2 linked regions of the Daphnia pulex genome follow. The protein of the gene in region 2 interacts with the protein of the main gene of each other region in a pairwise test. Links are inferred from orthologs where the notes say so. Each region holds a gene or a part of one and is shown on either strand. Other genes may lie near its edges. The genes, in order: liprin-alpha-2-like and kinesin-like protein unc-104.

Region 1 (4,279 bases), on a different chromosome or scaffold from region 2:
TTTCAAAAACAAATAAAAACTCCACCTTTTCTTTAAGCGAATCTTCTAGACACTTTCTTGATTTATCTAGATCTTGCGTTAGGTGATTTTTCTCTTCTAGCGCCGACATACGCTCTTTGAGATGAACTTGCAACCGGTCGTTTGATTCTGTTTGTATTGTTTGTTTTTCAAACAAAAATTTAAAAAAATGATACAATAAAGCAATTATGCATAATGAAGTTACCTTGTAAAAGCTTATCAACAGTTGAGGATAGACGTGAATTATGTTCCTCGTTAATCCTCAGTCTCTGCTGCAACTTAGCCACTTCAGTTGACTTCTCTTCTAATTGGCTTTCCAGTCTCTGGATGCGATCCTCAGCCGTACCGTGGCGCTCTTGAACCTTTGAATCATAATGCTAATCGATAAGCGAGATGAACATGAAGGGTTTTGTTAAACATAATTTACTTGAGTTAATTCATGCTGGACCTCGGGTAGTTTCGAGAGCTGGGTAACTTTCTGATCAGCCAGCTCCAATTTCTCTTCCATAGTGCGGACCCTGTCCTCTTGCAACTATGTAAAGTAATTGATAAAATCGGATTATATGACGAATTCTAATAAAAAGTTAACGAGCTAAAAACCCATACCTTAAGTTGTGCGTCTTTATTACGCAGCTCTTGCTCTAATCGCTCGTTCAAGTCGTGAAGAGACGTTGATTCACGTTGGGCATTCAAGTATCGTTTCTCTAATGTAGCAATGCGCTCCTCCTGATAGTAATGACGTGTAGAAAAATGATTTGAGCATTAAATATTACAATTTCATGGAAACAGTTGAATTAAATGAACCTGATCTTGGTTTTGCGCGCTCTTCTCGTGAAGATCACGTTGAAGTCGGGCCTGTAACTCCTGACTTCTCTGGGCATCCCTCTGAGCAGCACGAAGAGCTTCTTCAGCTTCCAATAGTCTCCGTTGTAAAACCGTCAATTCGCTACTTTGTTTCTCCAACGTTGATTGCAGTTCCGTCATTTTACTAGCTTCAGCTGAAACTTCGGACGTTCCATTTGTCGCGTTAGTAACGTCACTAGTACCACTCTCACCAGCTGCACCACCATTTCCATCCGTGCTGGTGTGCGTCACTGACATGGACCCATTCTTTAAATGTTGCAACTGCAAATGCAAATACCACATCAAAGTTAACACCAACTACAAAAAAGAAAAAGACGATTATTTAGGACCCACTTCTTCTTTGGTAGTTGTTAGCTCTTCTTCGAGACCGGCTGTCCGTTCTAACGCCACCCTCAATCGTTCGCGAACCTACAAATAACGGATGAGTTAGAGTCTTCTAGTTTGTTCAATATTTTCATTTAAAAAAAGTTACCTTCTCATCCAAGGCTTTATGATGCTCAAATAATGACTTAAGCGCCTTCAGGACTTCGACTTCGGAAGAAACACCTGCACTATTTGCTGCTTGTCGCTTGACAACCGTCATTCGCAAAGATCGTTCATGGCGGGACACCAAGCATTCCAAGTGTTCCAACAGAAGCTATAATCAGAGTAACAACATATTTAATGAGTACGTTGTTGGCATTTGATTTCCTTATAGCGATATAGTGTGATGAAGTCGAATAATACCCTAGTGTTGTTCCTCTCAGCTTTGAGTTCGGTAATTTCTTCGTCTTTTTCCAGAAGCTGTTCCCTAGACTGGGCCAGCTCTTTAGTTAATGACGCCAATTCCTACAAGTCATGAAAAAAAAAAAATTATATTTTATTCCTCAAACCTTTCTCTTGAATTTTTACCTGAGGTAAAGATGCGGCCATCTGGCGTTGAAGGCAATCCCGTTCTTTTTCTGCATCAGCTAATCGAGCTTCCAGCTCTCCCATACGATCCTAGATAAGACTCAAATGATGAAATACACTAAATCATGAGGTGAATAGAGAACATACTTGTGCATCGCGTAGAGAATCTACTAGCCGGTCTCTTTCATCCAGCATAGAGACCATGAGCTGTTCAAGGTTTCCTTCTTCCCCTGACAGCAGTTGGGAGGATCTTTGTGATAGTTGGCTGGCATCTTCCGTAATAGTAGGCATCACATCACACATCATGTTCCACATTTTTGTGGAACTAATATAATTGGTATTTATTAAGTTTGAGGACTAAGATCAGCAACAATTCAAGAAAGGTCCAGAGTTGGCAATGTTATGGATTTGATGTCGGCACAAAATCTAAAAGAGTATAAAACAACGAAGATATAAGTAGAGCTGTCAAAACATATAAGAAAAACATGATTCCAACATTATTCCAACATAGTTTTTTAACATTGCTTAGACAATATATGGGAATTGGTAGTATTAATCCAGATTATTATGCAAAGTCTTTTGGGTTATAACCTTCTTGCATTCACACATTATACCGCCAACACAAATATAAATGTGAAGGATGTTAACAATTTAACTTAAATTTGAAAAAAAAAGTTGTATGGGAACTTGCACTAACAATAAAAAATGCATAGAATTGAAACTTGGATAATAGAAAGGTGCTATTAGCTTGTTAGTGTTTGTATTTACAACCCAACCCGTAACCTAGCTTCATGTAAAAGGAATAATGCTAGATTCTGCATATCATCAACTTCTATGCTGAATTCTGAATCATATCACTTATGAGAACACAAAATGTAAATTGTGATGTATCACACATCTGGATCAAGGGGTTTACGAAAGAAAAGCGTTTGTTTTCTGTGCGGCTTCGAAGCTAGGCAACAAGAGAAATAACTGTTTAGATCCTTACGAGGCAATGTGCTCCGACAGAATCACGTATACGAGATAATCAGGAAAATATCATTTTCACTTCAGCACAATCTTGGCCGATGATGAACCAAATGTCGCACGTAAGAAATAATTAATATTTTCCAGTTTCAACAACTTCTGTCAAAACCAAGACTTCGCCGTCAAGCCGCCATATTTGACTTTGACGTCACAGTAGTCACGTGACCTGTATGGTCGTTCGTACAGTAGGCTACAGACGAAAACGAAAACGCTCGTACAGTTTAACACGGGCCCGGCTCTCGTCGTCGTCGATTTTCCCATTAACATTAACATTCTACTTTCTCTTATATGGGATATATCCCTATATTTTATGTGAAGTTTTTATCTTATCACATACCAGATACCACTGAGCTTGAATGAGTTTCAGAATTTAAAGATTTATAGTGACACACAAGAAAAGATTTCATCTTTCAACTAACGATGTTTATTAGATATTTGACTTGAAATTTCAAATTATTCATGCAAAACATAAACTGGATTACAGAATGAAACATTTAATTTAGGACCATTTCTTTTTACAAAATCTCTACTAAATTGCCAATTGAAAGAACGACTGATGCTTGGGTTTGATTAAAATTTAAGAAGTGACATCATATTTATGCATCAGAAAGCGCGGCGACGCCTGGCAGAACTTTGCCTTCCAACAACTCTAGAGAGGCTCCACCTCCAGTAGAGACATGGCTAACCTTGTCCTCTGTTCCCCATTTGGCAGCGCAGGTCGCTGTGTCTCCTCCACCTTTTCAATCAAACGAAAATCAACAAATTTATCTTCTAGAAAAACCGGGGAAATGGTTTACCAATGATAGTAGTGGCGCCGTTTTGGGTCGCAAGAACAACAGCATCCATGACAGCCTTTGTACCAGTGGCAAATTTCTCGAATTCAAAGACTCCCACAGGTCTACAGAAACACAATTAGTAACTGTACATAATCCGGTCACGCTATTATTACCCGTTCCAAACAATTGTTTTGGCTCTTTGGATTGGGTCTACAAAGTGTGCAATTGTATTTGGTCCACAATCCAAGCCCATCCAACCTTCGGGAATTCCAGACTCAACGCTGGCGGACTGTGTAGCAGCGTCCTCAGCAAACTTGTCTGCGCAAGTAAAGTCGACAGGAAGATGAAGCTTCACTCCATTTTTCTCTGCTTTGGCTACCAAATCCTTGACTATTTTGGATCCTTCCTCGTCGAACAACGAGTTACCGATCTGTTTGTCGACAATTGTTAGTCATAGGCTGTTTTCCCTCTGGCCTCACTAATTTTTTTTTACCTGCATGCCGTTGATGACTTTCAGGAAAGTGTACGCCATGCCACCACCGATGATCATTTCGTTAACTTGGTCAAGCAAGTTGCCAATCAACTGGATTTTATCCGCAACTTTAGCACCACCAAGAATAGCCAGGAATGGACGTTCAGGGTTATCAAGTGCTTTGGCGAAATAAGCCAACTCCTTCTTCAAGAGGAAACCGGACGCTCGAACA
Region 2 (4,343 bases):
TCTTTTAAACGCGTTCCTTTAGCGCCGGTGGCGTCGGCTCGTTCCGAACCCGCCAAATCCACCAAGGAAATCTTGCTGACTTTTTCCGTGGATAGACTTGTCGTTTGATCGAAACGTCTCTGCGTGAAAATGAGCGTAAAAACGGCATGTGATCGACTAGATGTCTCGTTCATGTTGGTAGCTGCCACCGTCCTGTTTAATAACAAGATGTCACAAGAAAACTTAAGTATTAGGACGAATGTGACGGTGGGGAATTATTGACCTGGCTTTGTTGCCTTCGTCAATAAGCTCGTTGACGTCGTCGAAGCAAGTAACAGCCAACTTGGAAAGATCTTCTACGTAGGGTCCCAGGAGAGGGTGCTCACGTACGCGCAAGTTGTTTTTGTTCTTGGGATTGAGCAAGTCACGAACTCGTTCGCAATAAATTTCCATGTAACTGACCTGTTGTGATTGTGCGTAAGTACAGTTGACTTTGTGACTCAACTAAATTAAAAACAATGTCTTGAACGCTACCGTACCTCGACCGAGTACTGCATATCTTCGTTAGCATCGCTATTGATTCGACCGAAAAGATCCATGCAAAGCTGTGGAATGATGCCCTCTTGGCCTTCTTCTTGTTTGCCCATCATCGTAAATGATTTTCCGGCTCCCGTTTGGCCGTAGGCGAAAATGCAAACGTTGTAACCTGTTTTCAAATTCAATGTTTGCACTTTAAATCAATTTTCTTTTAGTTGAAGAAATTACCTTCGAAGGCGTGATCGAGCATCTCTTCACCGATGTCTTTGTAGACATTGATCTGCGGTGCGAAATTGTAATCTTGAGGCTAAACGTGAAAAAAGGGGGAAAACAATAGAAAATCGATAAGTGATCGTAGCTCGACTCAATGGGCCGTCTCTCTGTGCTTGCACCTTGACATTCGCCACCACATCGGTGGGTTGAAAGTACACAGAGTATACGACGAGGGGGAAAAAAAGAAATGGCAGAAACAAGGCATAACTCACGTCATGTGACCAATAAGAGTAATCAAAGTTAAAACTCTTGGAAGCCTCCTTGGAACCGGCTGGAGCTTTCGGATTGGTTATGACTGTGGAAGACAGAATGATTAACAGTTACGACACTATTATATGAAAGATGGCGGTTCTTTTCGACGATTAACAAGGGAACCAAAAATAGAAAAACACAGTGTGGGCGGGCGGAGGATGAATGCGTCATTTACTTCCATTTGTCTAGTTTTCTTTTTCCTACTCCGGAACGGCCGTGATATTGGCAACAAGTCTTGCGCTTTTAACGAAGGCTTAGAATCCAACTTTTTTTTTACGGCACACGAATAATCCTCCATTTTTGATGACGTCAATCCTTACCCGTGGTATTGTCGACCATCTCGATAATGCATTTAGAATCGCGGTTGATTTCTCGACTATTGAACGGACGCACACGAACGGCCACTTTAACGGACGACATTTTGACTTGATTAACGGCTGCAATCCAAATGGAAACAATCACAGCCCAGCAGCACTTGATGCAATATCCAGCAGCGACCCTGTCAATCAAACAAGACATTAACACAATTAATACACCCCATTCGCGCGAAAGAGATAACAAATCTATTTTTCGATTCCTTTTCTGTTATCTCTAAATCGAGACGCTGTCAGGGGAATCGAAACTCACGCCCCTTCTTTTCCCTCTTCTATTCGATCGACTTAACAATAGGCAACGCCGGAATGTCGTTTCGTGACAATATGAGACGCAATCCAGTCGCGCATAATACGGGCTACTTCATTTTTCCTCTCGAAAGAACCGCTGCACTTGCACTGTGCAGACCCTGTTCGTCTTTCAAGGCGATTTAACATTCAGAAAACAATATGGCCATGTAACTCGATGCATGGAGGCCCAGCCCACGCTCAATATATTTAAAATGTATTAAGGTAGACCCGCGTACGCTTTTTTTTTTATCGCATTAAGGATATAAAACTGTAAAATTGAATAACATTACAAAGGCAAATGATGGTAGAGCTTACCCGGCTTGGAACTATGAGTGTGACGTTTAGCTATACGGAGCTCAGTAACGTTGATCCATGACACACGAATCGATTATTTCTTCCTCCTACTCTTTTTCTTTTCTTCAATACTTCACGGGATAATAAAAAAGAATTTCAAAAAATAAAATAAAAAGCCCTGCCCTGCTGCCACTTTGACAACAACGAAGAAAACAACTTACTCGGGGACTGGGGCCAACACTGAAGGTGCCACGGCAGTATTCAACTCAGAAAAACCGTTCGTCACCGAAGAGCTGCTCTGTGACTCGACAATATCGATCGTCTTGGCCGACCTGCGCAGTAGCAAATCCCATCGGTGAAAGTGTATCGCTCCCCCCGCCTTCTGAAGAAGGAAAAAAAGGACCCCGTTGAGAGTTCTACTGCTGGCGGTCTAGCCGCTCTTTAAACCGACCGACAGCTTTACGCTTGGAAGAAGGTTTATTTTATTCGCAAGGCAACCCCATTTTTTTTTTCATTTCGACTTTCCCCAACCGCTGCATGCAGTACCGCACAGACGCGGAATGATGGTAATTCATTCTACAAATATGCTCCAAGGCATGCGTGATCGATAAAATAATGTAAAACGCAACAAAACACTGCAATATTGATCTATCGATAAACATTGATAAAAAAAAATAGACTTTTACGGCCACTAGTGTTGGAAGTAAAAAAATAATAAACAAAAAAAAAACGTCAATAAGGTTGCCGAAACCATCTTGTTTACCACCGAATGGCCGCCAGGGACCAGCTGGAAAGTTAAACGACCGTGTCATCTCAATTTTTGTTAGAATTAAACAAACAGACGGTCCTTAGCCATCACAGATGGCTAGTTTACACAAAAATCGACGAACTACCCTTGAAAGGATTGAAAAATTCGTTTCTAGAATTTATTTTACTGATGTAAATTTATATGGACGCATTTACCCACATCAAGAGAATGTCGGTACGAGAAAACACTCAGACATTAGAACTTTAATCACTCATTAACGATATTTTGCTTATAACATTTTAGACATATTTCACTGGGCCTTACCTCAAGATAAACACTGGAAGTCAATTTCCTTTGATGAAATCATCAAACAAACATTTCTCCCACAGAAAATTGGGGACTGTTTTGGACCCACTTGGGCTACACACTACTTTAAGGTGTTGCCAGTTGTCAATGCAAAATAACAGATATTTTTGTACATGTATTTATTCAATCCTCTCATTTTCTTTTAAAATACTGAACATCTTTTTGGCCTTTAAAAGATTGTTGTGAAGATTCCTGAATCTTGGTCTGGCAAAGAAATCCACCTTCGATGGAATTCAAATTCAGAAGCACTTCTTTTCAACACTCTTGGAGAACCTCTTCAGGTTTATAACCAATCATTTTGTGTTAACAATAGAATAATTTCCATTGATACCATCTATGCAGGGATTCACTGGAAGTCCTGATCACCAGAAACGAGAAGAATTCATAATCTCAAAATCATGGGAGAAGAAAGGTCCAGAAGAACTGGTTTACTTTATTGAAATGGCTTGCAATAGGTATCTTTGATTTATTTATTCATGCTCAGGTTAAAGAGAAATAAAAACAAATTTTGTTAAAATTTCATAGCATGTTTGGAGCTGGCAAAGGAGGAATGATTGGTAAAAAATATCTTCAATGTATTACCAATTTTTACCATTGAGAATTTTAGAAGCAGCATTTATACATTACAGACGCTCCCGACCCTGACCGAAAATATTGTCTGCAAATGGCTAATGTTGCGGTTTGCGACACAATAGCATACCATCTCCTGATCGACTTAGAACTTTTATTTGACATGGCCAAAGAATTGACGGAAGCAGACGGAAAGGGTGACAGTCGTGGTTATCAGGCTTTGTACGCAGGAAATCAAATCATAAATGCCATTCAAGCTGATGATTGGAAGTAATTTCGCGTTGCATAATTAATTAAATTTATATTTAGTAAATACTTAAGTCCCAGAAATTCTTTCAGGGAAGCTCAACGAGTGTCAAACGAGTTTTTTAAGTACCGAAACGGCGAACGCGCGCACATCATAGACGCAATGGGTCACTGTCATATCGATACGGCTTGGCTCTGGACGTACGATGAAACTATCCGGAAGTGCGCTCGCAGCTGGTCATCTGTGATAGCACTAATGAAGGACTATCCTGAAATGACTTTTGTTTGTTCTCAAGTAGGTTGGAGCTATTTTCTACAAAAAGTTCACTATTTTGTCTCATAACGACTGAATCATTGATTTATTCAGGCCCAGCAATTCAGCTGGGTAAAACAGTACTACCCTTCGCTTTATGAGG

Evidence for each region.
Region 1: the proteins of kinesin-like protein unc-104 (region 2) and liprin-alpha-2-like interact in binary tests that used the Caenorhabditis elegans proteins (3 or more experiments, as listed by UniProt). The link is inferred for Daphnia pulex from reciprocal best matches to the Caenorhabditis elegans genes unc-104 and syd-2.

Annotation. Positions count from the first base shown.
Region 1 is NC_060018.1:6,195,593-6,199,871, reverse strand, and holds the start of liprin-alpha-2-like, read right to left. Parts: upstream 2,962-4,279; 5' UTR 2,762-2,961; intron 2,200-2,761; 5' UTR 2,089-2,199; coding exon 1,921-2,088; intron 1,864-1,920; coding exon 1,774-1,863; intron 1,711-1,773; coding exon 1,609-1,710; intron 1,520-1,608; coding exon 1,355-1,519; intron 1,291-1,354; coding exon 1,216-1,290; intron 1,144-1,215; coding exon 823-1,143; intron 745-822; coding exon 625-744; intron 551-624; coding exon 446-550; intron 381-445; coding exon 224-380; intron 148-223; coding exon 26-147; intron 1-25. Other genes in the region: probable phosphoglycerate kinase, read right to left, coding at 3,396-3,535, 3,597-3,697, 3,749-4,005, 4,069-4,279. UniProt on the Caenorhabditis elegans protein: May play a role in regulating the structure of the neuronal region, called the active zone, from which synaptic vesicles send neurotransmitter signals across the synapse. This may be in association with the liprin-beta protein hlb-1.
Region 2 is NC_060017.1:1,487,227-1,491,569, forward strand, and holds the start of kinesin-like protein unc-104, read right to left. Parts: upstream 3,049-4,343; intron 2,980-3,048; coding exon of another isoform or gene 2,859-2,979; exon of another isoform or gene 2,746-2,858; intron 2,633-2,745; exon of another isoform or gene 2,019-2,632; intron 1,541-2,018; 5' UTR 1,462-1,540; coding exon 1,362-1,461; intron 1,085-1,361; coding exon 1,002-1,084; intron 824-1,001; coding exon 745-823; intron 686-744; coding exon 519-685; intron 442-518; coding exon 263-441; intron 193-262; coding exon 1-192. Other genes in the region: alpha-mannosidase 2C1-like, read left to right, coding at 2,859-2,979, 3,049-3,182, 3,288-3,392, 3,454-3,566, 3,637-3,668, 3,741-3,951, 4,021-4,222, 4,295-4,343. UniProt on the Caenorhabditis elegans protein: Motor protein involved in microtubule-associated anterograde transport. Regulates the transport of synaptic vesicle precursors in the axon of DA motor neurons. Regulates the polarized sorting of axonal proteins.